Mus musculus: one gene and its partners. The protein of the gene in region 3 purifies or fractionates together with the protein of the main gene of each other region. This does not show direct contact. Links are inferred from orthologs where the notes say so. Each region holds a gene or a part of one and is shown on either strand. Other genes may lie near its edges.

Region 1 (5,275 bases), about 14 Mb from region 3:
GATATGCTGTTTGGTAAAAGGTCAATAGGAGAAGCTACGTGGCAAGGCTGTGAGCAAGAATTCAATCTGAATCTGTACAGTGTGCCAAAGTAAAACATTAAGAGAAAAAAAATACCCTAATTTTAATTACAGGGGTTCTGAAAAATTCCTAACCCCAGCACATTGTAAAAACCACACTATGAGCCGGGTGTGGTGGCGCACGCACGCCTTTAATCCCAGCACTCGGAAGGCAGAGGGAGATGGATTTGAGTTCGAGGCCAGCCTGGTCTATAAAGTGAGTTCCAGGACAGCCAGGGCTACACAGAGAAACCCTGTCTTGAAAAAACAAAAACAAAAAAACAAACCACACTATGGTCAGAGCCCAAACTAACAATCTTCTCTAATAGACTCGGGGCTCCTGTATTTCCTGCACTCCCTATTATACCACTCCCCACTGTCACATCTCCTCTCTCAAATTCCATCTTTGAGAGGTCATTTACAAATTCAAAGATTTCAGAAGTGAAACCATTTTCACTTGGGTTACTGTATAAAACACTACGTACTTGTCTCACTGTTTGCACTATACTTCTCTCTAGCTCCAGTATAGGTCAGAGAGGATATTTTGGGTTCCTCACCTCCTGCCTGCTCCTTCTGGTCCCTCCCCTTCTGTGACCTACCCCCTGCTGGGGCCAACCCTGATCTGTCACCTCTCCCTCCTGTCCTACCTTCCTAAGGTATTCAAAGCTCACCTGGAGGATCTTGCAAGCACACAAGGCATCCACGTCCGAGGCCACAAAGAGAAGGACCCTCTGTAGAAGCAAACGTGGACAGATGAGTTGAACACAGGGACGCTAAACTCTGTGGCAACTCTCTGACCTCCCGGCCCATCCACGGACACTCGCCCTCTTCTCCCCAGCCCCCAGATAAGGTTTGGATCAGGATCGTGGAATGGGAGTCACCTGGTTGTGGACCGTCTCGTAGAACTCCTTGCGGAAATCGGTCACGAACATAGCCACAGCGGCGGATACCTAGAACTGGCGCTGAGACACGGACAGCCCCGGAGGTCGTCAAGACTCCCGCCAAATCACAGCTCTTCTGATTGGTCCACGCCAGCAGCCAATAATTCTTAGCCTTTCCTCCTTTCTGATTGGTTCCTACTGGGGACAGCCAATAATGCTCTGCTATTCGCAGCTGGATAAGACCCGCCCGTCCCTCAAAAAATGAAACATCTTTCCTCAGGCTGCGAACCTTGTTGCCGGTGTTGACGCTAACGTCCAGTCACCCAAAACCACCTATGTTTGGCAGACATCTTTACTTCGGGAAGGAAGGTCTATTATCTGACCCTGGCATACTTAGAAAACAATATACTCTTAGACATAAAGTAAATTCAGTCACACATTATTTGAATGTGTTTCCAATAAGTTTCCAATACACGGTTCGTCGAATTAGAGTGAGCTATAGATTACTTCCGCCCGAATCCATGATGGCCGGGATCAACGCCGGAAACTCTAGCTGCATTCTGGGTATTGTAGTCCGTAAGGAGAACGGCTCCTATCAAGTTGTTTGGAAGAGAGTACTATCTAAACATTATAAACAGTCGCTATCCTGTGAAATCAATTATCAAGTGTTTTAATGTTTACTTTAAGTAATATTCAAACCTCAGGCCTTCCCATGACTTTCTGTTTTTCCGCCGCTGACTTCAGGCCTCCGTACCCCATCCCCTGCGGTGTTCCGTCACTTCCGGCGAGCCTCTCGCGGTTTCTGGGTTTCAGAGCAGTGGCCTGGACTGCAAAGAGGGAGCTGTGGGTTTTTATTGTAAGGTTCAGGAAAAGAAGCGGCATCACCAAACGCTGTCAGTCATGGTGAGTTGACCGGGGATCGCGAACCGGATGATGCCAGAGTTGCCCCTGGAGCTGGCAGGGAGGGCCTGGACCTGGTGGCGGAGGTGCCGAGTCACCCGGGCCTGCGTCGGGCCCCGACACTGTCCCGAGAGCTTCTGTCCCAAGTGGGACCCATAATTACGAGCCACCTCTTTTCTTCTTAGCTTGTCCGAGTCATGACTCGAATGCCTTTCGGCGGGACAGCAGCCCCGAGAGTAAAAAGGAACCTGCTACTTTATGTCGATAGTTCTCATAAGTGCTCGACACGCAACAAGTTTCCATGAACTCGGAGTTAACTGGAGATTTCTTGGGGGAGTGGCGCGAGGGAGGAGAAAACGAAGGACATTAAGCTCAGCCAAAGTTCCCTGACCTTTTATTTAGTAGAAATCATGTCTTAGGCTGTATGTCACGTTGTGTTCATCACGTTGTGATAACGACAATAGGTAATATGTAGTGCGCCTTTTTTCTATCAACGTATACTTATTTAATTCCTGCATTCCCCATGGAACATAGGTACGTAGTTATTATATTTACCGGTAGAACTAAAACTTAGAGAGGTGGTACTCAGGAAAGTGAGGCTCAGAGGTTGGAAGTCAAGTCCATCCGGCTGCAGTGATGTCTCATCACTCCTGTATATAGTGTTGACTCCGTGCCATTTGTTTGTTTGTTAAAAACAAGAAGTGATTATTAGATTTTTATCCTGAGTGTCACAGTAAGTCCCTGTCTAAGTTCATTTACATAACCAGCACTGAGTGTTTGATGTGTTAGGCATAAAAGCTTTAAAGGAAGTAACATGGATGATAGAAGCTCATGTTCATTGGTGGCTGAGTTGGAAGGATACCGTTCGGGTGTTGCATACTTCATGTACGTTGTTTATGTTCCAGAGAGAAGCAGTAGGTTAGATGGATGGCATAGGTGAAGATGCTTTGACGAGCACACACCCCCCACCCCCCAACCCCATGGCTCAAAAAAGGGCTTTGTGGGTTATGCACCTAAGACTGAGTCACACAGTTCTGGTACTTAAAGAAAAAGATAAAAGACTGAAGCACGCCTTTAATCCCAGCACTAGGGAAGCAGAGGCAGGCAGATTTCTGAGTTCAAGGCCAGCCTGGTCTACAAAGTGAGTTCCAGGACAGCCAGGACGATACAGAGAAACCCTGTCTCGAATAAACCAAAAAAAAAAAAAAAAAAGACTGAAAACTTGTGTACTAGTAACTGAAGAACAGTTTATTGGTGGGGGATGTTGGTGTGCACGTGGGCTTGAGAATAGAAGCCTTCGGGTGGGTATGTGAGCCCGTATGTGCATGTGAAGGTCAGCAGACTGTCTTGGATGTAGTTCTTCGTGTCTTGACTTTGCTGGCTGGTATGAGAAAATACTTGATATGCAGTGTGCAGGTCTGTTCTGTGCTGTGAGCACCAGGAGAAGCACTAACTCTGACCCCTGCCAAAGCAAGGGAGGCTTGCTGAAGAAGAAAAAGCATTGTTACTGAAAGCCAGGTGGAGGAATACATACATGGGCATCTGCTTTTCACCACCTGCAATGCTCTTTTGGGTTTCTTGCCCAGTTGACACTCAGACATGTAGGTCTTTAATGAGGGTCTCCTCCTGAACACTTGGTTAACATCCATTCTCGGGTGCTCTCTGTCCCGATACCTGTTTCTTGTCTTTAAAACTCCTAGACATAGGTATTTTATTGTTATCTTCCTTGTCTTTCATATCAAGTTCCCCAGGGCAGAGGTGATATCTGCCTGCAGTACCCAAACATTACTAAAGTGATATCCCCTAAAGTCCAGATTGGAGCCACACAAATGGTAGGCACTCAGGAAAAGAGGTGGCTTCTAAGTTAAGGATGGTGGGGAAAGGGCTCCAGGTGGAGTTACAAGTCCAGAGACAGAAACGTTAGGTTAGGAGATGGTGGATGGTCAGTAATGAGTCTCTGTGAAGTGTATGTAAGGCCCAGCCTTGATCCATCTTGAGAATAGGGAATAGTAGCAGAAGAATAGGAGGGGAAGGCCTGGTTTTATATTTAGTAAAGTTGCACTGTCTATAGATAATAGAAACTGGACCTGAGGGATGAGTTTGGGAGGCACAAGAAGGATTTGAGGTTCACCGTGCCGCCGAGGTGGTCAAAAGAACATTCTGGTTAGTTGAGATTTTAGTTTGCTGTGTTCTTTGACCACATTTATACGCACTGATGACTTGCTATGTTAGTGCTTGGCCTAAAGAAACATACCTTTGAGGTAGATACAGTGCACATTTGTGTACATTTGTTATGTGGGAGGCTAAGTCAAGGTCACCGGGATTCAGGACTTGATGACCAGCCTCTTTTTTTTTTACAGTGCCTTTGTTTCTTTGTTTTAATAATAATACCATTTCTTTCTTTCTTTCTCCTAGTTTTCTTTCAACATGTTTGACCACCCGATTCCCCGGGTCTTCCAGAACCGCTTCTCCACGCAGTACCGCTGCTTCTCCGTGTCCATGCTAGCAGGGCCTAATGACAGGTCAGATGTGGAGAAAGGAGGGAAGAGTATGTGCCTGTTTTTATTTTGAATAGTAACCTTTCCTGCCCTAAACTCTATGAGCCCTGTAGCCTTCTATAGCCCTTAGTTTGCATGTGGGCACCAGACACTAACATTATAGTAAAAATGTCACTGTCCTAAGGCATGGGTGGTGGGAGTAGGGTGCTAATTATGTTTGTTGACTAAATGCCATTCAGAGCACAAAAATAAATTACTTCAAGTAAGATTCTTTATGAAAAGTCGTTATGAAATTCTGGCTAGCCCCAAACCACTGTTTAAAGCTTTTAAAAGATGCATCAGAAAGTATACATCTTGCCTTTGGTCTACCCTTTTGTTTTTATTTACTTAATATTCCTGAAATATTCTTTTCACAGTAATTATGCCACCCTCAGCCCTCGATCAACTCAGTAAGTACTTTCTATATAAGTACGGGAAGCCAGAAATGGGCATGGGCTTTTCATTGTCCTCAGAGTCTGTGTAACATTTGTCAGGATGTGGTTAGAATCCTCTTTGGAGGGTGTGCTGGCCTAGAAGGACCAGGGGCAAGTACCTTAGATGAGGCAAAGCATGGCTCTGCTTCCCACTGCAAGGGTGCTATAAGCACCCACTCAGTAAAGGGTACTCTTTTCTCTTTCTTCTCACCTCAGCCCCTTCCCCAGTGCCTGGCTTGTCTCAAGAACTTGTCTAGATACAAAGGAACAGCACTTTGTATAGTGCTTGAGTAGTTCATACTGTGGTGTGGGCTCACTAGGTTGTCTTCCTAAAGGGGAAAAAAAGCTTGATCTCCAAGAGAACTGCATGACCCAGATCTCCCAAACCTGAGTTTTTCACTTCCAGTGTGGCATTGTATCCTGAGGAAGCCAGAGGTTGAACTGCCACTTTCTCTTCCTGTGCCAG
Region 2 (5,016 bases), on a different chromosome or scaffold from region 3:
TTGATTTTTAACTATCTGAAATTGGAAGCCCAAATCTAACATGCTATTTTAAATTGCAGTGCTTTGAGCACCTCCTGACTGGAATGCTAAAAATAAATAAACTCACTTAAAATTAAATGACACCCCTCAAATCTTCTATCTCTAGGGTCTTCATATTGCCAGTCTGATAGTTATGTTTCCCTGTGATAGAATGAGGAACAAGAGGATAGGAGGGAGATGAAGAAAGGAAGGAGAGGATGTAGTGAGAGGGTGTGGGACTACTGAGAAGGCAAGGGAAGGAAGAGAGAGTAAGGAACAGGAAACATGGGAGAGAGGGAAGAGCGAGACTAAGGAAAAGGAGAAGGAGAAAGAAAAAGGAAGACTGGGAGAAAGGAGAGGGGAGGTCGGTGAGGGAGGATGATGAGAGGGAGGGAGAGGGGATGAAAAGAGAAGAGGGAGGGAGGGTGAAGAACAATGGTGAGAAGAGTGTGAGGGAAGGAGAAGGAAAAGGAGGATGGGGACTAAGAGGAGGGAGATAGGGAAGGAGGAGGACTAAGAGGAGGGAGGAGGTAGATTGAGGGAGGAGGATAAGGAGAAAAAGGGGATTAAGGAGGAGAGTAGGGAGAAAGGGGATTAAGGAAGTGGGGAGAGGGAGGAGGGAGACTAAGGAGGAGTATAAAGGAAGAGGGAGACTGAAGGCAGGAGAGAATTAAGGAGGAAGGTAAGGGAGGAGTGTACTGAGGAAAATTAAGGAGGGTGAGGGAGAAGGAAATATTGAGGGAGGAGGGTAGGGATTAGGGGTATTAAGAAGGGTGAGAAAGTCCCAATACAAATAAAACCCTAGGTATCCAATTATCCTTGGTAGCTCCTTCCTTACAGCAAAAGGATGTGCCTAGTCTTGTTAAGTAAACCCTCCACTATCTGTTCTTCCAGGTTTTATACTCAGATCTGAAGTTTAGGAACTAAGAACAGAAGATGTGAAAACATGGAACATTTTTCTTTCTGGAAATGGGTTCCCTCATTTAATATAAGCTTTTCTTTATTCATCAATATCCCCAGAAATATGGCTTACTAACAAAGAGTGTTAATGTATTGAACATTTGAAACTAGGCTTGTGATTTTGTAGCTGTTGACATATTATAGGACCCATTTCTTTTTTTTTAACTAGAAATATTTTTGGTTTAATATTAATTAATACAAATTGTAAGATATATAACCATCACACAATTAATAGCATTTCTATATACAAATGACAAGTTGTCTGAAAAGAAAAATTTAAATATCAATAATAAAGGTATATAAATAACATATCTTTAATTTACTTATTTATAAATAATAAAAAATAAACAAAATATTTAGGAATAAACATAAACAGGAAAGTGAACGCTTTGTATTCTGAAAACTTCATAATATTACTGAAATAAAGTGAAGGCCCAAGTAGGTGGAAATTATATGTTCATGGATAAGAATTAATATTAGGGCTGGTGAGATGGCTCAGTGGGTAAGAGCACCCGACTGTTCTTCCAAAGGTCCTGAGTTCAAATCCCAGCAACCACATGGTGACTCACAACCATCCGTAACGAGATCTGACTCCCTCTTCTGGTGCATCTGAAGACAGCTACAGTGTACTTACATATAATAAATAAATCTAAAAAAAAGAATTAATATTAATAAAATGTTTAGTTCAGTTTTTAAAAAAAGGGTTAGAAGCCAGGCGTGGTGGCGCATGCCTTTAATCCCAGCACTTGGGAGGCAGAGGCAGGCGGATTTCTGAGTTCGAGGCCAGCCTGGTCTACAATGTGAGTTCCAGGACAGCCAGGGCTACACAGAGAAACCCTGTCTCGAACCCTCCCCCCCCCCAAAAAAAAAAAGAAAGGAAAGGGTGAGAAAAGAGGGAGATTTAGGGAGGAAGGAGGGGAATTGAGGGAGGAGTATGAGGAAAGGAGATGGGAAGGAGGGTAAGGGAGGGGGTGGACTGGGAGGATAAAGACAGGAGGGGTTGAGGGAAGCGGTGGATTGGAGAAGGGCAGGAAGGAAAGTAAAGGATTACCATGAGGGAGCTCGAAGATTGGGGGCTAGGCAGAGAGGATAATGGGCAGTGGAAGAGGGTGGCGATGAAGGAGGGGCAAGAAGAAAGTTGGGAAGAGGGAAAAGGAGGAGGGTGATTGCAGGGGAGGGGCAAAGGGAGGGAGTAAGAAGGTGGGAGTGAAAGTTGGCAGTGGGGATGAAGGGAGGGCAGGGAGGAGGGTATGGGGATGAGAATGAGGGGGTGGAGGACTAAGGGAGGGTAGGGAGAAGGGCGATGAGAGGAGGATTGAAGGAGGGGACTGGAAGGAACAGGAAGGGATATGGAGGGGAAGGGAGAGGAAGAAGAGAGGGGAGGAGGGAGGGAGGGGGAGGGGAAAGAGCAGCAGTGTGACAAGGGAGCAGACAGGAAGGAGGGGCTGGGACAGGGATGGGCAATGGGTAAAGAGCAGAGATGGGGGAGGAGAAGGAAGTTTAGGTCAGGAGAGGTGCAGGTATCCAGGTGAGAGGTAAAGAGGTCAAAAGAAGAAGTGAGGGAGGGAAAGGGTTGAGGTGGAGGGGTGGGGAGGATGAGGGCACAGGGAATGGTGGGAAAAAGAAGGGGGGGAGGCCATGGAAATGGGGGCGGGTCAAGAATAAATGGAGGGCAGAGGTCCCAGTGTGTTCTTCCCTGTTGTGACAGGGTCACGTACTGACGTGGAACCCACTTATTAGGCTAGACAACCAGCTGGCTAGGAAGCTCCAGGGATCCTCCTGTCTCACCTTCTCAGAGGAAGAGAGTTTAGTGAACAAGAATCCAAAGTCAGATTCTCCCATTTGGGTTTATGGAAACTGAAACCGAAATCAAAACAAAAGTACTTTCCTGAATGGCGGCCTTTTCCCAGTCCTACAAGCTTCCATAAGATTCTTTTGACTATACCGACACATAGCTGTACTTGAGGGTATTTCTGTGTTAACCAATTCTAACAAGTTCTGCCTTAACTTCTTCACATCACCGATAAGACTATGGCTTCTAGCATCCCCCCTCCCCTTTAAACAGTTGATGACATTTAGTACCAAGTGAGACTAAAGAGTTACCTCCAAGTTATGACCCACTTACAAGGCCCTAAATCTGACCCACCTTTCTTAAGGGGCCCGAAATCTGACCCACCTTTCTAATTTCTAAAGAATACATTTTTCTGTCTTTCGAGAGGTCTTTTAACTTACAGTCACTGGAGGATCAACAAAGATTTTGTTCTAACATTCATCCGTTGGGGCTCTCATACCTCATGAATCAGAGACCTTCTGGAAGACGTCTGTCGTCGACTGCGCCCGGACCAGACTGATAACACCCTAGTCTATTCTAGCCCCACCCACCAACTGTAACGCCTTTCAGATAATTGACAGCAGATCTGACCAGTCCTACAGCAGCACATTGCTGAACAACAAAGGGCTTCGGTGATGTCTTAGCCAATCAAAACGAAGCTGGTCACCTTGTGACTGTTTGAGGCTTTATCCCAGCATTCACCGGGAAGTTGATGCCCGAGGCGGTATACGAGGCTGTCTGTCGCCAAAGGCTGTTGAGTTCGAGGCCAGAGTATATACTACATCAGCTACATATACTCCTTGTCTCAAAAACCAAACCAAACCAAACCAAACCAGCAAACGTAAAAACTCTCATCTCAGCACAATGTGATAATTGGATATATTTCCCAAAATCTCTCCAACAGGAATATCTCCAAGATACTAAGAGGTCACTGTTCTGTAATTTCACAAAGTTCCTAAACTGACAGATGAGATGAGGGGTGGCCTCTGTTACCATTGGAAGAGTAATAAAAGTTTTCACTCCCTACTAGGTCTCTATTGACACAACACTAGGCTAGAGGAGACTAGAATCAGACTCCTTACAGAGAGTCTCCAAAGAGCGCTAAAATGGAGGAAGACATAGTTGGAAGTCTCAGACTTCCACAAACAGGAGTCTAGGGCCCTCCAGCTCATCTACTAGTGGAGCATGTAAAATATTTCCATATATATTTTTTAAAGTGAGAGGAGAAAGTCACGAGATTCTGTTTATCGCATGTCTAACTTGTAGCTCACATCTAACTTATTGAGACTGTTTTGTCAAGTGTCAGGACCCCTAATTTGACTAAGCTTAAGAAACAAAAACCCAGGACAGCCAGGACTACACAGAGAAACCCTGTCTCGAAAAACCAAAAAAAAAAAAAAGAAAAAAAAAGAAAAAAGAAAAGAAAAGAAAAGAAAAGAAAAAGAAAAAGAAACAAAAGAAGTCGATTGGTTTCTATATCCAGACAGGGCAAACCTCAATCCCAGCTAGAGCCAGGAACTCAACTATTATCTTGTTTCTCAGCCTCTCTCTTTATCTCTCATCTAAGCTTCTCTCTATATAGCTTTATTCTCTAGTAGTCCTTTATGGTAGATACAACTGGGTTTCTAGTGGCCTTTAGGTCTTAAATTCACAGATCAGAAGCTGAAGAAAAAACCTGGTGCTATTATGCATGCCAGAATGTGTGAAGCTGACAGGAGGAGCTGCAGTTCAAGGTCAGCCTTGGCTACACAGGGGGACTTACACAGCACCTCCTTTCAAAACAAACAAAAGAAATTCAAACACAAGAGAAAAGGACTTCTCTGTTCTGATTTAGAAAAATGCAAAGTTTTATCTCTAGTCTGGGTCTCTATCCCTTGATGTTGCTACTAAGTTTAACAGCATTCTGTTTGTTGTTTGGTTTGGTTTTTGGTTTTTAGAGACTACAAGGCAAGTCCAGGACAGCCAGAACTACACAGAGAAACGCTGTCTTGAAAAATTAAATCAATCAATCAATCAATCAAACAAACAAACAAACAAACAAACAAATCCTTTCTGTTGCCACTGTACCGAGAGCATTGTTTGGTTTACTTTAAAATTGAAACTGGAGTTATGGCTTAATATTAGGACAATTACTTGCTGTTCTCAAGGCTATGACCTGATACCTATGCCTCCCAATACAAATTGTAACAGAAGAGTGAAATACAAAA
Region 3 (4,481 bases):
ATTAAATAAATAACTTCAATTCAGAAGGTCCATAGTTTGTGATTTTTAAAAATGAAATCTGTGATGTTCAAAACTTTAACAAGAAAATATTAGAAATTTGCATTTCTCTGGCTGTTAAAATGGTAAAGGCACTTCCTACCAAACCTGATGACCTGAGTCCAGTCTCTACAGCCCAAATGGTAGGAGAGAATGGACCTCTGAACACTGTCCGTGGACACTGACTGCACAGCCTTAAACATAAGCACAGTTTAAATAAATGTAAAAGAATTTGCATTTCTAGTTATTATAATGACGTTTTTCATTATAATTATTAAGCTTTTGAGAATTTAATTGTCTAGCCCCAAACATCCAAATGTATTCTTTTTTTTTTCTGAGACAAGATCTCACTGTATAGTGCACACTAGGAGTCAAACTTACAAACCTCTCCTGAAGTGTTAAATCCTGGGATATAGCATGCACCATCATGCCATATTTTGGTAATGTTATTTTCTTGTTTTGAATGTCAAATCATTGCATTTAATGAAAAGCAAGGAAGACATGTTTTTTTGATGTTTAATCATTTTAAAGAATTGTAGTTTGGCTTTAAACTTTTTTTTTTTTTCCTCGAGACAGGGTTTCTTTGTGTAGCCCTGGCTGTCCTGTAACTCACTCTGTAGACCAGGCTGGCCTCAAACTCAGAAATCCTCCTGCCTCTGCCTCCCAAGTGCTGGGATTAAAGGCGTGCGCCACCACGCCCGGCAGGCTTTAAACTTTTTTTAAAGCAAAAAATAATAAGCTATTTTCTTGGCTTTGTTCATTTTGATGCCAAAAATGCCTGAACTTAAAATGCCAGTGTACTAGTTTATATGAGAGCTTTGTGTTGTTTATTTTTGATTTAGACAGGGTCTCACTGTGTAGTACAGGCTAGCCTAAAACTTCAAGCAATTTCACACCTCTGCTTCATAAATGCTGGCATTATGTGCCACCGTATCTAGCTTAATGATAGTCCTTTATTTTTGCTTTTGAAATACTCATTGCAGTTTGTCATTCTGGTACTAAGTTCTTGCCCTCACATGGTATAAGAGACAGATTCCACTTTGGCAGAAAATCATAATGGCAAGTTGGCTAGTTTGTTTTTTTATGCACTGTTTGAGTGGTTTTTTGTTTATTTGTTTGTTTTGTTTTTGTTTAACTATTCTTTCAACTTTTGTTTTGGCTGCACCTTACAGGAGAGCCTCATAGATGCTAGTGAAGACAGCCAACTGGAAGCTGCCATCAGAGCCTCCTTGCAAGAGACACATTTCGACTCGGCCCAGGCAAAACAGGATAGCCGCTCAGATGAAGAATCTGAATCGGAACTTTTTTCTGGCAGTGAGGAATTCATATCGGTTTGTGGCTCTGATGAAGAAGAGGAGGTAGAGAATCTTGCTAAGTCCAGAAAGTCTCCTCATAAAGATTTGGGGCATAGAAAAGAGGAGAACAGAAGGCCACTGACAGAGCCCCCAGCCAGAACTGAGCCTGGCACAGCCACAAACCATCAAGGATTGCCATCCATGGATTCTGAGGTCTTGGAGATGTCACCTGAAAAGTCAGATGGAATAGTGGAGGGGATAGATGTAAATGGTGGGTTATGGTATAGACCTGCTTTACCTACTAAACTCGAACGTACTGAATGACTTGCTTAATTAATCTCCCGTATTAAACACCTGTGTATGTGTATAACTCTTCTTTAGGACCAAAAGCACAGCTGATGCTGCGGTACCCAGATGGAAAAAGGGAACAGATCACTCTTCCAGAGCAAGCCAAATTACTGGTGAGTTTATCCCATTGAAACATTTGCTTAAAGCAAAGAATCTAATTGTTTGTGCTGCTAGGGGTCAAACCCATAAGCTATGCATGTTAGGCAACCCCCTGCTATACTGTATCCTTACTCCAGAAAACAGAGCCTTGACTCCTGACACAGAGAGTTTATCTGATACCTAACTGCAGACTCATCTGACAAGAGTCCTAATTTTTTTGGGTTTTGTTGTGGTCTGTTACTTGTTTTTTTTGTTTAGGTTTTGAAGCAGGGCCTTACTATGTAAGCTGGCTAACCTGTAATTCATAGCAATTTGCCTGCCTCAGCTTGATTAAGGGTGTGGAGATTTTGAGGTGAGATCTCACTTCATAGCCCATGTAGCCTGAAACTAAAGCAGTCTTTCTGCTTAGCCTCCCAAGTGCTGAAATTAAAATCATGAGCTACCATGCCCTGTCTCATTTTTAATTATTTCCTTCTAATTATTTTAGGCAAGTCACAGGCCAGCCAAAGCTTTTCAGTTTTCAGTTTTTGTTTGTGTGGAATATACTTACTTCTGGTGGTCTGGGGGTTGTTTTCAAACTTTTTCCTTGTGTGTGCGCGCGCACGTGTGTTTTGTTTTTGAGGCAGGGTTTCCTTTTGTACCCTTGGCTGCCCTGGAACTCAGTTTGTAGAAACTCAGAGATTCTCCTGCTTCTGTCTCCTGTGTGCTGGAACTAAAGCTGTGTGCCATCACACCTGGTGGATCTAGGATTTCTTAGTTGCTGTTACTAAAACATAGTTAAGAGCCAAGGTCGTTGTTCTGTGTCTCTTCTGTAATCTGTTAGGATTTTTTTCTTGTGCTTTTGACTTTATTCCATTCCTCTCATTGTTTGCCTATGAGTTTTATTTATTTCTTGATTTGTACATGACATCACCTATCATGGTGGTTTTAAGGGCCTATTTATTTAAAAATTGTTGAGCAATGATTCTTTTTAACTGCTAGAAAAGAGGAGAATTGGTCTGACTAGCATAGCTTAACCTATGGATGGTCCTCACTCGTAGCCCACTTTGGTCAGTACCTATACCTGGCTTGGTACCATGCCTGGGATTAGTCAGTCACTCTTTTCATTTCTATAACAAAATACCTGATATAAACAACTTAAGGGTTTCTTTTTGGCTCTTGGTTTCAAAGAGATTCCATTTCAGCCCTCCAGAGCAGGATAGGCATGGCAGTGTGAGAGCATGGCAGAGGCTCCTTGTCTTGTCATAGGAACTAGAGACTTGTTTGTGTGGCTGTGAGCCAGGAACAGAGAACTAGACCAGAGCTAGAGGGTTGGATAGGAACTTCAGAGGCCTGCCTTTGGTGACCTACTTCTGTCAGCCTGGCCCTACACCCTAAAAGCTCAGACCTTAGGGGAAAGGCCATTTAAATAGAACCATACAGAAGATACTTAGGCTGATTGTTGAAGACTGACAAGTAATAGTTTCTGGCTAGTGCCAGACACTAAACTACCATTGTTTGAAATGGGACAAAGGACAAATATGATATATAACTATCTTAGTTAGGGCTTTACTGCTGTGAACAGACACCATGACCAAGGAAACTCTTTTAAGGACAACATTTAATTGTGGCTGGCTTACAGGTTCATAGGTTCAGTCCATTATCAAGGCAGGAGCATGGCAGTATCCAGGCAGGTACAGGAGGAGCTGAGAGTTCTACATCTTCATTTGAAGACTGGCTTCCAAGCAGCTAAGGACAAGGGGCTTAAAGCCCATGTCCACAGTAGCATACTTCCTCCAACAAGGCCATACCTCCAAATAGTGCTATTCCCCTGGGCCAAGCATATTCAAACCTCCACAGTGCCTTTCTCCATCTTCTAGTTCTGCTAGCAAACTTTGGTATAGAAGTGTTAAATGGAATATTCCAGAACAATTCGTAACTTTTAAATTACATACTATTCTAAATAGTACAATGAAACCTCCTACCGTTACATTCCAACACCTAGGATGTGAACCATTCCTTTTATCCAGGATAACCAGACGGTATACCCGAGAGACAATAGCCATCTTAGTTTATCTAATGAAGGTTATAGTTACTGCCAGGTTTTCTGGTCAAAGTAACTTCAAGAAACTTTTAAAACTTATATATTTAAGTTAGCTCAGTGGTTAAGAGCACTGGCTCTTACAGGTCCTGAGTTCAAATCCCAGTAACCACATGGTGGCTCACAACCATCTGTAATGAGATCCGACGTCCTCGTCTGGTCTGTCTGAAGAGAACAACAGTGTAATTACATACATAAATAAGTCAATGTGAGTGTATGTTCTTGCAAGCTGTTCAGTAACTTTTAGTGATGGCCCCGAAGCTTAAGAGGATTAATGCTGACATTTTATTACAATATATTGTATGGCATTTTATTATTAGTTGTTGTCAATATATAGAGGTCTATACTATTATTAGATATCTACCAGTGATCATGGTGCATATTTTCTAGGGACAAGGGTCACTCCTAAGTAGACCATTCTTTTGAGAAGTTTAGTTGGAAAACTAGAAGACAGTAGGTAGAGGAAAGATGACTGATTGCTTATCTGACGAGAAAGCATTTATAGAGAAGGAAGTGCTGAAGAAATTGTAATAGACAGTTATGAGATCATAGTTGATTGTAGACAGAATGTAAGGACATAACTCTTCTGATGAAGGAAAAAACTGGGTGCTATATTTTATAAA
Region 4 (4,481 bases), on a different chromosome or scaffold from region 3:
GTATTAATACATTAACCTTATATTAATATATTTTGTTTAAAGACCAAATATACCATCACATACGTTTCAACATGAAAACCATACTCACATTTACCAGCACGTAGTTTCCCATAAATGACAGGCTAGCCCATGTACATGTGTAGTTAATACAAAGTGGGGTCTATGATATAACAATTGTGTAAACAATCACATGAACAAAGTTTTAGGGTTCAAGGTGTCTATCTACTGCCCTTTTGCTGATATTAGTACATTTAACTTTATAATTGCATGAACAAGAGTCTAAAGAGTCAGTACTTAACAATGCATACTCCAATTGCAAATGACATTTTGGATCACAGAACCCATAAGAAATGGCTTATAGATTGCTCACAACTCCAGTTCCAGGGGATCCCACAACCTCATCTGACTTCTGAGTTCCTGAGTTCAATTCCTAGCAACCATATGGTGGCTCATAACCATCTATAATGAGATCTGGTGCCCTCTTCTGGCCTGCAAGTATACAGGCAGGCAGAATGTTGTATACATAATAAATAAATGTTGAAAAAACTTCCTTAAAATTTATTTTTATCAAAGCTTAGGAATTAAAAAAAATTCCTTGGCTGGACTGGATGTATAAAAGACATTAGTCCTAATTACATTTGTGTTGGGGTAGAACCCAAAGTTTCTTCGTGAGTGACAGACTTAGTTTTACTTTAAAAAATGTATTTATGTATTTGCCCATTTATGTGCATATGCAGACTCTCAGACAACCTCAGACAGGTCAGTCTTTAGTCTTCTAGGATTTCTGTCCCACTTTAGAATCACTTCAAAATGCAGCTTTCACATATTATGCTTTCATATCTCAGTCTATACCTAACACTTGTCTCAATTACAGGAAAATTAAAATATTACCAGAACTAAATGAAGCCTAAAAATGGCTTCAAAGTTCAAATGGGAAAGTAGAAAGATTTGAAGCTTTCTCTTTTTTTCTAAAATAATACACATTTATTTACTTAACTATGTATTTGGAATGGTGGTATGTTGTTCATGCTAGGGCCACACATGAGCGTGAAAGGACGACTCATGGGAGCTGACTCTCTCCATCAATCTCGAGGGGTGTGAAGATTGAATCCAGTTTGTCAGGCTTCACCAAGCAAGTGCCATTACCCAACTGAGCCATCCATTGCCATTATCCCTAAACTTACATAAAATACCACATCCTATGAACTACAGGTGCTTACTAAGAGCTGATGAGGTTCCTGTGTATTACAAATAAACCCCAAACTGAAACACACACATCACACACACACACACACACACACACACACACACACACACACACACCACACACACACACACACATCACACACACACATCACACACACACACAAAGCATCACTACACACACACACACATCACACACACACACAAAGCATCACTACACACACACACACTACACACACACAGAGCATCACTACACACACACACACATACTACACACACACAATCACACACACAGAGCATCACTACCATGCCTTTGTTTACTGTTTGCTTCCCAGAACACTTACCATCTGTACACTTTTCTCTAGCTCTTGGGGAATTGCAAATGTAGATGAAGGAGCCTGAGTGAGAGGCCACGCACCAGCCTAAAAAGGAACAGTGAGATAAAACGTTCAACAGATATCTACCCCAAAAAACCCATTTCAATGGTGAGCTGCTGAGACACCTTTTCTCTTTCTTGGAATTCTGACAGTGCTATGGCCCATTTTATTCCAAGTCTGTAAAATGTGGTCCACAGCTCAAAAGCTGACTAGACGTTATCAGGCATCATTTGCTAACCTTCTATATTACATTGTCAAAATGATTCATAAATCTAAAAAAGAAAAATACTATCATACCTGAAGAACATATATTTGGAAACTAATCCCCAAGTCAATCACGGTGTCTTGGTTTCTGATGAAATTGTTGAACTTATTGTTCAAATCAGCGCTGACACTCATGTCTGTATACATTCGATGCAGCTTGCTGGTAAACTCATAACCACAGGCTTGCTGGAAAACAAGTTGCAAAGAATATAACCTAAACTGAGAATGACCAGCCAGGGATCAATTAGGAGACCAGAGGGTTTTATTTTATTTTAGTTGTAGTTTTTGTTTTTTTTTTTTTGTTATCAATACTGAACTTAAAGATCATCTTAAATCACTGGAAACCTCTGCCCCTTTGAATCTCATACTGACACCCAACACTGTACACAAATACACTCATGCCTGACCACTTACACAGCCTGCTGTATGTATACACATCAATGACTGCTGAAGTATACAGTCATTACATATAATGAGCATACTTGGCTGTTGGTACAAGATTTCTATGATATTATCTATCACACTAAAGATTTATGGTACCTTTAATTTATTGATCATGGCTTCTTCAGAATCCATAGACATAGACAACCCGTGAATTAGACGTTTTGCTAGCATTCTTGCATAGAACTGCAGGAAAATGGGAATGGTTACTTTTGTTGTGACTTGAAATTCAAAACAGAGTGAAGCTGGTAACTCTGATCTGAATGCTGTTCAGCTCACCTTCTGAAAGACGTCCTTGTCATCAATGTACTTGAAAACTGTGATGAAGCTAGTGAGCTTGTCCTCCACTTCATTTTCAGTCATCCCCTTCGCTGACTTCTTTAGCAAGTTGTCACAGTACTTAGCAAGCTCAAAGAGAAAGTAATAATACATCTTACAAAGGCCCTTTGGACAGACACTTCAAAGGCGGCAACACAAAGCCTCATAGGTTTGTCACTTAGAACAGATGTAAGAGCATAAACATGAAAACAAGCCGGTAAACGGTTACCATCGATGGGACAAAAGCAAAGCAAAAGTGGCTCAACAGATGTTGAAAGCTGTTACATCCTAAAGTTATACTTTAATATTATGAATGTAAAACATGCGTGATCAGCTAAGTTTTAAAAACATAAGACACTAGAACTAAGAAAAAAACCTAATCAGATAATGAATAGTATGCATGCCTTTTTAACAGGATTATCATCTTTATGAAATATTTTCTCCTTTGGTTAAAAAAAGGAACATTGTTTAATGCATTCTGAACGTAAATTTAAATATATATATAATGCGGACAATTTTCATATTCTGAAAATGAGTACACAAATTAATTTGCCATTCTAGTAACTTCCCTTTACAACTTCACATGAGATTACCTTCAAGCAACTAAACTTACCAGTTCAGGCGCTTTGCAAACAGACTTGGGTTCTCTGTAATTTACAACAGATGTAAGGGCCTAAACGAGAAAACAGCCCAGTGATTAGTTACCAGAAGGAGGCAAAAGTGGTGGCTGTGGATCTGATCTATGTCTATAATACCCACAGTTTAGCTATCTCTCTTTCTATCTCTGTATGTAATGTATAGGTGTTCACATAAAGAAGTATAAACATAAATGAAGGCAAGGTCTACCTTAGCTATTGTTCTTCAAAATCTTCAGAGTCTGTCATGAGACTTAGGGTGTAAGCTAGCTGGACAGCAAGCCCCATGATCCCAGCCTTCTCCAGCACTAGATTACACTATCACACCATTGTTTTGACATGGGTACTGGAGGTTGAGCTATCCCCAGCAACTCTCAAGGCCATGTGTTAAAAGGGATATTGGCGGCCCAGGGATGTGGGGCTTCTTTTCCTTCTTTCTGTGCTACTTTCTGTCACCATTAGGTGAACATCTTCATGTACTATGAGAAGCCCAAAGCAACATAATTAGTTAGGCAGAAACTTGTGAAACCCTGAGTTAAAAGAATTCCTTCTGCTTAGCTCTGTTCTGTTAAATTAGCAGGAAGATGACTATCTCACAAATCAAGAGTCAATTTCTTATGTCAAATATCAATTCAAATTCATGGTGTCTTTCAAACCAAGAATGAATACAGTCTAAATGTGGTATAGGTTAAACAGAAATATAGTCCTGCCACTGCCGGGGCTCTAACAAAGGACCAGAACTAAAGAAAATTAGAATTATGCACACCAGGTCACTAATAACTCAGAAAGACTGACATAAGACACTATAAGTTCATTTTACCACTTTAAAATTTAAGATTCCCAAATTTAAACTAGTTATTTAATGTACATTTCAGTGCTCAAGGTTCTCAAACTTGACTGCCTAGCAAAGATGCCCAACTGAAAACCACATCACAGGTTAAAGAAAATCCCATGTACAGATCACATGCATGGGTTATTTGTTTTAAAGTTACCTTATCTAAAGCACTCATAAAATGCTGATCACCATTCAAAACAGTGTTGATAAGTTGAACGAATTTACCATGTACTTCCAAAACTGATTCCACAAATAGTGTTGGCATCTAAAAACAAAATACAAAGTATAAATTCACATTTTAAGATTTTCAAGAACAAAACTTGAATAAAGAATATAGTTTATTTTTTTTATACTTATATACTCAAATTATACTTATACTCCTCCATATCCCCAACTCCATATCTCTGG
Region 5 (4,933 bases), on a different chromosome or scaffold from region 3:
ACTACTGAAAATAATACTGAGAATTGCCACTTTTGGGGGGTGGGGTCAAGAATAAAGTCTCCCCGTAGCCTGGCTGGCCTGCACCTCATGGATCTGCCTGCCCCCACCTCCTGTGTGCTAGGATTAAAGGCATGGACACCACATCCAACTAGAATCAATACTTCTTACTTTGGATCTCCACAAAGATCAAGCTGGGACAAACTTGAAAGTTACTTCTCAAATATTCTCAACTCTAAAATCGGCGTAGTTTGAAAATGCTTGACCCAGGGTACTACTAGGAGGGGTTACACCCTTGTTGGAGGAAACTTGTTACTGTCGGGGTAGGCTATGATAACCTCCTCCTAGCCACCTGGACCAGTCTACTTCTGGCTTCCTTTGGATGAAGATGTACAACTCTCAGCTCTGCCTGCATCATGCCTGCCTAGACGATAATGGACTGAACCTCTGAACCTATAAGCCAGCTCCCATTAAATGTTGTCCTTATTAAGAGTTGCCGTGGTCATGGTGTCTCTTCACAGCAGTAAAACCTTAACTAAGACAGAATACCAATAGTCTTTTGAAAAGGGGGAAAAAAAAGTTGTGTGAAGGGATACAATTTGAATAAGCAAACACTTGGTGCAGGGTTTGATGATGAGAGTTCAACATAGTTGCTTAAGTTATGGAAAAGTTTGATATTGGTAGTGATCATCACCCACACCTCTGACAGTTTCCAAAGATGATAACAATTATATTTAACATATCTAAGCAAAGCAGCTAACAACATCCACAAATAGATAAAACAGAATGACTGGTAAAAAGCAATCTGCATTCTACTTGTAAATCTGAATAGTTTAAAATTTGTTAAGTCCTAAATGACCAAATTTAATTTCTTCTTTTTTTAGTGAGGCTAGACAGAGTTTCTCTGTGGAGCCCTGGCTGTCCTGGAACTCACTCTGTACACTAAGCTGGCCTTGAACTCAGAGCTCTGCCTGCCTCTGCCTCTGCTGGGATTAAAGGTATGCACCACCACTGTCCAGATTGAATTTCAATTCTGGTAATAATAAAATTTAATTGGGACCAGGCACCCTGGAATATTCCTGCATTCCCAGAAGACTGGAATATGAAGGCAAGACGGTGAGAAGACCAAGGTCATCCTTTGCAAAGTAGGGAACTCCAGACCACTCTTGGCTACAAAAGTCCCTGCCCCAAAATAAAAGGGGTGAGGGTTGCTTGGAAGCTAGCCCCGTGAAAGCCTCTCCTTCTAGATACGCATTGAGTGTGACTGACTGAAGAGCCCTGCACTTTGCATTCCATCTATTTCCAAACCCTCAAATCCTCTCAAACGAAACACTCTACCCTGTACTAGCTCAACTCTTAAGACACATACGTTTTTTCCTTCTTTCTCCACTTTAACATAGGACGGTGCCCAGTAGAACTGCTGCTTCCCAGTTCCGGTCTTAATCTCCGTGCCTTCAATCCCGTAACTGCCCCTCTCCAGTCTACCAATCAGAATCAGCAGCCCATGAGCAAAGGGCACTAACTAGATGTGTAATAAAGTCACAAGGCATACAAGCCCTGCCCACAATGTGTAGCACTGCACAACTCCTCTAGCCTTAACAGCTTCCTTAGTCCAAAACTACTGTCTCGGATGGAAAGACAACCACACCATGCATGTTACATAAACACGACCAACTGAAATGCTGATCCCATTTCACAGACAGGGTCCAGGGCTGGGGACCTACCAAGGTCACACTTCCTAACAGTGGCAACTGTTTTGCGCCGACACACAGCTCTATCCCGTATTCAGTTGCGCTCCAGCCCTTCAGGCAGTGCAGGGAGACACTCCCCTCGCTTGCCCACCGGTGCCGATCCACAGGTGCCCTGCAGCGTGGCGACCCCAGCCCTTGGGAGCTCCGGGTGGAAGAAGGCCCAGACCACAGGGCTGCTCCAGGGCCTACTGGAACCCCTCACCCATTGTTCCCGGCCGACTCACCTCCGAGGACGCGGTGGCAGGAACCGCTGGGCCGTTGGAAGCCAGCTCCCGCCGGCTCAGTAAGCTCGGCCGGTGGCGGCAGGATCCGCGAAGGCGTACCCGGCGGCTTCGGCGCCTCCCCTCCTCGGCAGGCACCAGAGGGGGCGCTTCACCCTCCTCGCGAGACAGCGGAGACCCCGGTGGCGGCGGCTGCGACCCCTATGACGTAGAACGTTCATCACCCACAGGCAGTTTGGAGGCGGAGAGAAGGCGAGACCAACCCCCCGAGCCCGCGCAGCAAAACACCGCTCCTCCACCCCCTTCCCCCGAGCTCTGGGCGCATGCGCCAAACCGCTGCCGCACGCAGGAGGCGGGACGTTACGGCACAGACCCCGGACCCTGCCCTGCCCCCACCGCGGGGGGGCACAGCACAAACTCCACAATCACAACCAAATATGCAGAAAGGCTGCCTCAGTATCAGTGGAACCTCACAAACTTCAACAAGTTGTTAGGATTCTCTATGGTGCCACGGGAACTGGACTGAGCTCCCAGAGCACCCTGGTCCTTCCGTCTATTTCAGCTGGGTTGACCATCAGGCATTTCTTTTACCCCGCCATAACTCCCTGCGGCCCGCTTCCCTCTTTCCACTCTCGGAAATCTACACTAAAAATGTATCTGACACATCTGCGCCCAAAGCCGAGCGGCCCAGCCTCTGCCGGCCAGGCTTCCACTCTGCACACCACCAGCATCCTGATAGTTGGCCTGCCAAGCTGCCTTTCTCGGGACTTAGTATTTCAAACTTGCTGCAGTCCCAAGCATTCGACAAACTGCCCGTCAACACTTGTTGGCCGGCAGATCCACCATGCGGGCTACCTGTACAACATATTTGAAAAGATTTCCAGCCATCAGCGATAATATTCTGTTTGTTCTTGGTGAACGGCTCAACTAACAGTTCCCAACGATGTTTTTGTTACGTAAAAGATGTTTAAGTCAAGCATAAACATATGAAGGTCTATCCGCATTTGGTGGAAACCGATGTGGGTGTGGGACGGCAACTTTGATTCTTCCACCGTGGACTATTTTCCAATAAACTTTTATATGCACACGATGGCACACTATCTTGTATTAATACCGCACTGCAAATGCAGGATAAAGCAGTTAAGGAATTCCTATGTGAGCGCAAAAAAGGCGCGATCTTCACATTTTCTCTTTTATTCCCTCTGCTGCCTGAAAGGCGGGCTAGGCCCGGATCACGTGATGTGTTCCAACTCCGGGCGGAAGCCCGCGGGAGCGCGCAGAGTCCCGCTGAAAAATGGCTGCTGCATCGGGGTGCAATGCGCCCGCGAGCAGGCTGTAGGGCCCTTGCCACCCCGTCCCCGCTGCTCCCTTACCATGAGGCCGATGAGTCGCCGAAGCCTGGACTGGACTTACTCCCTGGTAGGTACCGAGCAGAGCGGAGCTCCAGAGCGCACCATGGCAGGGCCCGCGAGCCGAAGGTAGACTGTTGGCTCGCAGCTTGGAACTCCAGAACCCATTCCTAAATTGAGCGTTCACGCCCTGCCCTCGGCTCCGCCTCTTCCTGGAGGACACGCTTTTCCGCCTCTGACGTCAGGGGTTGCAGGCCTGCTTGCCTCTGGGCTGCACTGTGTTAGAGGCATGTGATGCCTTTCCACCTGTAGCTGCTTGCTCGGGCTACACAGGGAAAGGACCCGGCACATTGATTTCTTCTTTTTGCTTTTCCTCCCCTCCTTTTAGTTGCTCCTTGCAATCGTCTTGCTCTCTTGGGGATTCGTCATCTATGCATCGACTGTAGCTGCACGACGACAACTACAGAAGGAGTTTCCAGACAAGTTCTTCTGAACGAACTTTTGTAATTCTTAGCAAACACTTCTTTTCTTCAGATGGCACCTATGTAGACTCAAAGTAAAATTCACAATACAAATTTGCGTGTGGCCTTTTGTGATAAGCGTTAACATGCCAATTTTTCAAAATGATCGGACAACACCCCCCCCCCCCTTTTTTTTTTTTCGAGACAGGGTTTCTCTGTATAGCCCTGGCTGTCCTGGAACTCACTTTGTAGACCAGGCTGACCTTGAACTCAGAAATCCGCCTGCCTCTGCCTCCCGAGTGCTGGGAGTAAAGGCGTGCGCCCCCACGCCCGGCTCTATTTTGTATCAGGTCATAGCTTTTCATTCTAGTGCTCAAACACTTCACATCCTCATGTCAAATCAGTATGTAAACAACACTGTGACTAAAATGTGTTTTGCATCCTGTTTATCAAAATGGACAGAAAAAAGTAGCTAATAGCTCTGTTTAGTATTTGTCTTTTTACTGTTAGTCTCAAATCATAGAACCTTTGGACAGTAACACGGACAGTGATAACACTCTGAGAATAAGCTTTATTAATTACTTTTCCAGGAAACAGATTCAGTAAATACAGCACTTTAGGAACATACTTGTGCTGTTACACAAGTCTGTTAAGTTTTTAAGGACTCTTCAATGATGTTGATCAGGAAAATCTCTCATTGGTGGAATTACTTCTCCAGTCTCCAGAATTGTATCACCCTAGGGAAAACAGGAAGTGTTTAATAGAGATTTTTCACCAAATATACATTTCATTGTAAATATTCCAACATTTGCTCAACACAATAAATGACTATAAAGATACTTTCTTTACATTTGTTAAATTTAAGCCAGGTCTGATGGTGAATTAATCCCAGTGCTCTAGAGGTAGAGGCAGGCAGATCTCTAGTTTGAAGCTAGCTGGTCTACATAGCAAGTTTCAGGGCAGACAAGACTACATAGATCGACCCTGTCTTAAAACAAACAAAAAAACAACAAAAAGAATCCCCAAAAAAGGCCATTAAAATTATTTTGCATTTTACCTAAAACATTTCAATTTAGGTGCTAATTTTTTACTTGTACTGATTTGTAAATGAAGCTAAAAAAGATTAATCAAACTATTACATGAGGACTTAAAAA
Region 6 (5,179 bases), on a different chromosome or scaffold from region 3:
GGAAGGTAGAAAACTGTCAATGGTTGGTTACTCTGAAACCCTCATCCTGCCACTTAAATGGTGTCAATGGTTACTCTGTGACCTATTCTTCCACTTAAAAGTCTCTTGTTCCACCATGCTAAATTTCTCTCTCTTTTCTTCCTTTTGTTATAAAACAAGTTTTTTTCCAGACTTACCAGCTGTTCATATCCCCCAAAAATGTACATGATCTTGCCCAGGACACAAGCTGAATGTCCGTCCCGTGCCCCAGGAACTGCCCCTGACACTCGGGGTGTAGACCACTTGTGAGTATCTTTTGAGAGAGGTAAGAGAACGACACAGGTCAGCTGACACACCGGCCTCAATTCTGGCCTTCTATTCTCCAGCACTCTCCCCAACCCCCCCTTTCCCAGGTCCAAGGTGTCATTTGAGACCCATACTCACTGACATCAAAGGCGTAGAGTACGTTGCAGGCCCCTTCAGTGTCATTGCGCCCACCCCAAAGGAAGACGGTGTCATCAATGAGGACGGTTGAGTGCCCATAGCGCATGTAGGGAACGACAGGAGCCTGCCCTCGGACGGCAGGCCTCACTGGGGGCAGCTTTGTCCAACGCAAGGACACTGTGGATACAGCTCTCCTCAGCCCTGGGAACCTCCTTTCAAGCTGCCACCTTGTCCCAAACCAACCATTCTTACCCAACCCCCTTGCCGCAGAGACCACCACTGCACTTCATTCAGGTGCCCACTACCTCCCATGGTGTAGGGACTCCAGAAAGATACGGGACTGGCTTACCAGCATTGAAAATGTGCACATCTATCTGCCGTAGTGTTTCGTAGTCTTCCCCAGAGCAGTAACCCCCGAAGGAATATACTCGGTGCCCGACAGCCACTGCAGCATGGTTCACCCTGCGTGGCCCGCCCTCCAGATGCACTGTCCACCGTAACATCCCCTGGGCCACAGGTTACAGGAACATGCCCCCCCGGCACGGCCTGCTGCCTCTGCTACCTGTACACAAATCGGTGCCACGGGTTCCTCAGATGAGCTTCACGGTGGCTGCCCAGAACCAGTCTTTGCCTCTAAGTGCCACCCCAGTGGCCCTCCTACACCACCCCTCTACAGGGACACTGATCACAGCTCAGGTGGCTGGCCCTGCCCCAAGAGAGCCGCAGAGGTCAAGGAGCTTGCCCTGGCCCTGTGTTCTCCCACAGTGAAGGGTGGGGCCACCTTAACCTGACTGCCAGCTCAGAATCTGGTGATCATGACTGCCCCCCCCCCCCCCCCCCCGCATCTGTCAACTCCACCCTGCCCCCGGCTTGGAACAAGCTCCAAGCCCCCAGCCTCCCAGCCCTTTTCCATACTGGGTGTGTTCTTGCTTCTGGCTCTGTTTACTGCCACCTCTCTAAGAATTTCCCTCCATCTCTTAAAGGTAGGGATCTCAAAATACTCACAGCTATTAATAGCCCAGCCAGCCCCAGACAGTCCACTGAGAGCTGGCATGGGTGCTTTAAAGTAAAAAGGAGCTTTAGGCTTTCAGAGGAGAACAGTGTCCCTACCTAGGACAGGGAACTCCATGTAACCATGGTTGATTAGCCCCTCACAGAGCGTTCTTGTCAAGCTGATCCGTTGTCCCTGGGGTCACCCAGGGTGTCTACAGGCACGAGGAGTTCCTTTGACAGCTGTGGCTCGTATGCTGCCAGGACTAGAAACTTAAACCAGAAAGGTATGTGTATACTGAGAGTCGGGGGCAGGGAGGAGCGCCCTCAACTTTCTCAGCCGGACTATTGTTAGCGAACACGCCACTTCCAGCAGCCCTGCCCCTGTCTGGGTCTCTAGAGGAGAGATGGGGTAGGAGTGTAGATTGGAAAGAGGAAAGAAAGCAAAAATACCTTTGGGCAGGACAAGAGAAAGCCCCAAAGATGAGAGGGGCCACGGCTTTGTAAAGACAGCCGGCCAGCCTAGTGATAACAGGTATATCTGAGAGCTCTTTCAGGCAAATCTTTTTGCAACTAGCGATGCCTTTGCCAGGAGACATCTGCTGGGTTTGGGTGATCATTCACTTCCTGTTCAAAAATCCTTGGCAGGGAGGAAAAACCTCGGGGGTGGGGTGGGTGCACCTCAAGCAAAGGAGGTTCCCTTCAAGGGGACAGACGCAGCTTTCATGAATCAACTGCCCCCACAACCTTTCACTGTATACTTTAAGTAGCCATCTCTCTCAATGTGAAACAGCAGCAGCCAAAAGTTAAACTGTTCCTTCATTACTCAGGCTCTTCAATTTTTGCTTATCAGAGAAAGAGGACTGAAAGCTTAAGAATCCAAGTCCAAGGCACTCGTGCTGGGGCATGGAGGCAGGGGGATGTCTGTGTAATTAAGGTCAGCCACCTGGGTCTACACAGTAAGTCCCAAATTAGCCAGAGCTACAAGAACCTGTCTCAAAAAAAAAAAACAAACAAAAAATAGAGAAAGAAAGGAAAGAACGTGGTGGTGGAGAGCCTATCAACCTCCTTCATATCTTTTACTCTCCTTTGAAAGTAAGTCCAGATAAAACGAAAATGCACAAAGATAAGACTACAATCCCAGTGGCAGACGGAGGAAGACTCCATCTTCCTAAGGAGAACTCGGAGGCAGGAGGTTATACGTTATCTCTGGGTCTCCAGCATTTCCCACCAATAGGCCATTTTCAACATCCCAGCCCCTGAGGTCGGCTTCCCCTCCCTGCTCGCGCCCCTTCCCTTCTTAATTTCCCGAGAGCCTTGCAGTTCCTCCTCCCACCACTTCAAGGTCCACACCAGAGCCCTCTAACTCGTCTAAGTTCACGAAGGGAAGCAAGCCATTCTTATCCCCTGCCAACCATACCGCTCTGTGAATGAGACTGGTCTCCGGTTGTAGTCCACCTTTCTCAGCCGCCCCTCCCCCACGACGCCACACTGCCCCCTCCCCCTGCCATTATGCTCAGCTTCCTGATTCTCTTCGGAACCCACTCGTCCACTTCTCTCAGCGCTTCCTCCAGCCACCAGGTCTCTCCCACCCGTCTCCAGGCCATTTTCCCCTAACCCTTTCGCGGACCATTAACACTCCTCTTTCCCAGCATCCCCCTAGCTCCCTCCCCACCCCCAGCTCAGCCTTCTCAGCCCCTCCCGCGCGGCCCCAGCCGTAGGCAATGGGCGTCGCCTGTCCCTTCAATTTTCCTCATCCCCCCAACCCATCCCAGGCTACCTGCCAGGCCGGGCCGGGGTGGGGCCGCGGGTCCTCGCGCTGCCAGCAGCCTAGAACCCGTTGCCCGCCAACCGATTCCTCGGTCCCCAACGAGATAAACACTGCCAGACTTCGTCCTTCCGGCGGGCAGCGGGACGCGCACGTGCAGTGAGAATTGCCGGCCCGACAGCTTCAGGGACTTGTAGTCCACGAATTACCCCAGGGCCGAAAGATGGGGAGCGGGTGGGCGGGGCCGGTTTGTGCGCATGCGCAGAACACCAGTTCACGTCGCACGCCTGAGGGTCACTGGGTAATGTAGTTCTTTGTGGTCCGGGCAGGGGATGGCGGAGGCGGGGCAAGAGGCGGACTTGTCCTCGCTTGCGTCAGTCTCGGGCACGGGGCGGGGCTGGAGGACTAAGAGCCCCAGCATGTCCTGCCCCGCCGGAAGTGAAGGTGCGGGTCCGGCTGTGGGCTCTGAGAGGGTGAGGCGCGAGGAAATACCAACGCCGAGAATCAGTGGGGCGGGTAGGGGACTCTGTAGCTGGGGCCATTGAAGGGGAGACCCTGGGCCTGAAGGGGTTTTTGCCAGGCGGTACTACACTCCCCCGGAATAGAGGGAATGAGGGGCGGGGACGCGCTATGGTGGGTAGCCTGGCGACCAGCAGTTACCTCCAGAGGAGGGGCGTGGTGAGAGGGGCGAGGTTCTGGGAAGAGGCTTTTAGGAAGAGGTGAAACCCTCCGGTGGTCGGTTCATTTAGGAATCGGGCGAGTTAAAGACGTGTGTGCTCCAGCTCAATATGAGAACCCAAACTTGAGACAGGGAGGCAGGAGAGACGGGAGGAAGATGCAAGTTCCATGCGAGAGGGAAGTGGGTGGCTGAACGTGAAAGGAGACCTGGTTTCATCCCATCCCTATCCCGCCTTTCTGTCCCTGCAGCCCCTGCCCGGATGGCAGCAGTAGTTCTAGGGGGAGACACCATGGGCCCTGAGCGTATCTTCCCCAATCAGACTGAGGACTTAGGGCCACATCAGGGTCCTACAGAAGGAACTGGGGATTGGAGCAGTGAAGAACCCGAGGAAGAGCAGGAGGAAACAGGAGCAGGCCCAGCAGGCTACTCGTACCAGCCCCTCAATCAAGACCCTGAACAAGAAGAGGTGGAATTGGCACCAGTGGGTGAAGGAGAAGATGGAGCTGCTGACATCCAAGATCGGATCCAGGTATGGTGGAGGATGCTGTTACTAAGCAGATGAGATGGAATGTACCAACAGCTGTTTATCATAATGGCAGGGGGAGGGGCGCCTAACAAATTATCTTCTCTGGTTCTGCAGGCCCTGGGGCTTCATCTGCCAGACCCTCCATTGGAGAGTGAGGATGAAGATGAGGAGGGAGCCGCCGCATTGAGCAGCCACAGCTCTATCCCCATGGACCCAGGTACAAAAACAACCAAAGCTCATTCCTTCATTTAGAAATAATTACCAAAAACTAGTAAGAACTGGGCATGGTGGTGCACACCTTTAATCCCAGCGCTCATGAGGCAGAGGCAGGCTGGTGGTCTCCTGGTCTACAGAGCAAATTCCAGGAGAGTCAGGGCTGCACAGAGAAAAACCGAATACAATGCCCCCCATTCTCCCCCTCACCCCCAAACAAGATCACTTTATTCCTAAAAATTTCGTTACCTGAGATTTTGTGGACTTCAGAATCTAAGTGAAATGCTGTCTCACTAGACTTGGGAATGGGCAGACCTGGCAATAATGAGGGCGTGATGATGTGTTGGGGGTCTTGGGCTGACTGAGGCACTAGGGAGAGAGGAGCTGGTCCCGTTCTTTTTTTTTTTTTTTTTTTTTTTTTTGGGTTTTCGAGACAGGGTTTCTCTGTATAGCCCTGGCTGTCCTGGAGCTCACTTTGTAGACCAGGCTGGCCTCGAACTCAGAAATCCGCCTGCCTCTGCCTCCCGAGTGCTGGGATTAAAGGCGTGCGCCACCACGCCCGGCTGCTGGTCCCGTTCTT

Evidence for each region.
Region 1: the proteins of Ubxn7 (region 3) and Ufd1 purify together in Homo sapiens (affinity purification with mass spectrometry; 3 studies listed by BioGRID and IntAct, with this or other methods). This does not show direct contact. The link is inferred for Mus musculus from reciprocal best matches to the Homo sapiens genes UBXN7 and UFD1.
Region 2: the proteins of Ubxn7 (region 3) and Cul4b purify together in Homo sapiens (affinity purification with mass spectrometry; 3 studies listed by BioGRID and IntAct, with this or other methods). This does not show direct contact. The link is inferred for Mus musculus from reciprocal best matches to the Homo sapiens genes UBXN7 and CUL4B.
Region 4: the proteins of Ubxn7 (region 3) and Cul2 purify together in Homo sapiens (affinity purification with mass spectrometry; 6 studies listed by BioGRID and IntAct, with this or other methods). This does not show direct contact. The link is inferred for Mus musculus from reciprocal best matches to the Homo sapiens genes UBXN7 and CUL2.
Region 5: the proteins of Ubxn7 (region 3) and Topors purify together in Homo sapiens (affinity purification with mass spectrometry; 4 studies listed by BioGRID and IntAct, with this or other methods). This does not show direct contact. The link is inferred for Mus musculus from reciprocal best matches to the Homo sapiens genes UBXN7 and TOPORS.
Region 6: the proteins of Ubxn7 (region 3) and Klhdc3 purify together in Homo sapiens (affinity purification with mass spectrometry; 3 studies listed by BioGRID and IntAct, with this or other methods). This does not show direct contact. The link is inferred for Mus musculus from reciprocal best matches to the Homo sapiens genes UBXN7 and KLHDC3.

The regions. Positions count from the first base shown.
Region 1 is NC_000082.6:18,810,577-18,815,851, forward strand, and holds the start of Ufd1 (ubiquitin recognition factor in ER-associated degradation protein 1), read left to right. Parts: upstream 1-1,717; 5' UTR 1,718-1,838; coding exon 1,839-1,841; intron 1,842-4,253; coding exon 4,254-4,386; intron 4,387-4,752; coding exon 4,753-4,785; intron 4,786-5,275. Other genes in the region: Cdc45 (cell division control protein 45 homolog), read right to left, coding at 729-788, 939-989. UniProt on the Homo sapiens protein: Essential component of the ubiquitin-dependent proteolytic pathway which degrades ubiquitin fusion proteins.
Region 2 is NC_000086.7:38,572,870-38,577,885, forward strand, and holds the start of Cul4b (cullin-4B), read right to left. Parts: upstream 3,328-5,016; 5' UTR 3,270-3,327; exon of another isoform or gene 3,211-3,269; intron 1-3,210.
Region 3 is NC_000082.6:32,380,054-32,384,534, forward strand, and holds part of Ubxn7 (UBX domain-containing protein 7), read left to right. Parts: exon of another isoform or gene 1-615; intron 616-1,208; coding exon 1,209-1,602; intron 1,603-1,712; coding exon 1,713-1,792; intron 1,793-4,481. UniProt on the Homo sapiens protein: Ubiquitin-binding adapter that links a subset of NEDD8-associated cullin ring ligases (CRLs) to the segregase VCP/p97, to regulate turnover of their ubiquitination substrates.
Region 4 is NC_000084.6:3,424,307-3,428,787, reverse strand, and holds part of Cul2 (cullin-2), read right to left. Parts: intron 4,339-4,481; coding exon 4,231-4,338; intron 3,277-4,230; coding exon 3,217-3,276; intron 2,694-3,216; coding exon 2,565-2,693; intron 2,472-2,564; coding exon 2,385-2,471; intron 2,031-2,384; coding exon 1,878-2,030; intron 1,626-1,877; coding exon 1,548-1,625; intron 1-1,547.
Region 5 is NC_000070.6:40,266,332-40,271,264, forward strand, and holds the start of Topors (E3 ubiquitin-protein ligase Topors), read right to left. Parts: upstream 3,511-4,933; 5' UTR 3,389-3,510; coding exon of another isoform or gene 3,346-3,388; coding exon 3,343-3,345; exon of another isoform or gene 3,248-3,342; intron 2,171-3,247; coding exon 1,973-2,170; intron 1-1,972. Other genes in the region: Smim27 (small integral membrane protein 27), read left to right, coding at 3,344-3,388, 3,707-3,811; Ndufb6 (NADH dehydrogenase [ubiquinone] 1 beta subcomplex subunit 6), read right to left, coding at 4,448-4,516. UniProt on the Homo sapiens protein: Functions as an E3 ubiquitin-protein ligase and as an E3 SUMO1-protein ligase. Probable tumor suppressor involved in cell growth, cell proliferation and apoptosis that regulates p53/TP53 stability through ubiquitin-dependent degradation.
Region 6 is NC_000083.6:46,677,509-46,682,687, forward strand, and holds the start of Klhdc3 (kelch domain-containing protein 3), read right to left. Parts: upstream 3,423-5,179; 5' UTR 3,194-3,422; intron 3,074-3,193; exon of another isoform or gene 2,834-3,073; intron 1,701-2,833; exon of another isoform or gene 1,687-1,700; 5' UTR 1,534-1,686; exon of another isoform or gene 1,293-1,533; intron 986-1,292; 5' UTR 927-985; coding exon 773-926; intron 601-772; coding exon 424-600; intron 293-423; coding exon 177-292; intron 1-176. Other genes in the region: Mea1 (male-enhanced antigen 1), read left to right, coding at 3,514-3,625, 4,109-4,389, 4,501-4,603. UniProt on the Homo sapiens protein: Substrate-recognition component of a Cul2-RING (CRL2) E3 ubiquitin-protein ligase complex of the DesCEND (destruction via C-end degrons) pathway, which recognizes a C-degron located at the extreme C terminus of target proteins, leading to their ubiquitination and degradation.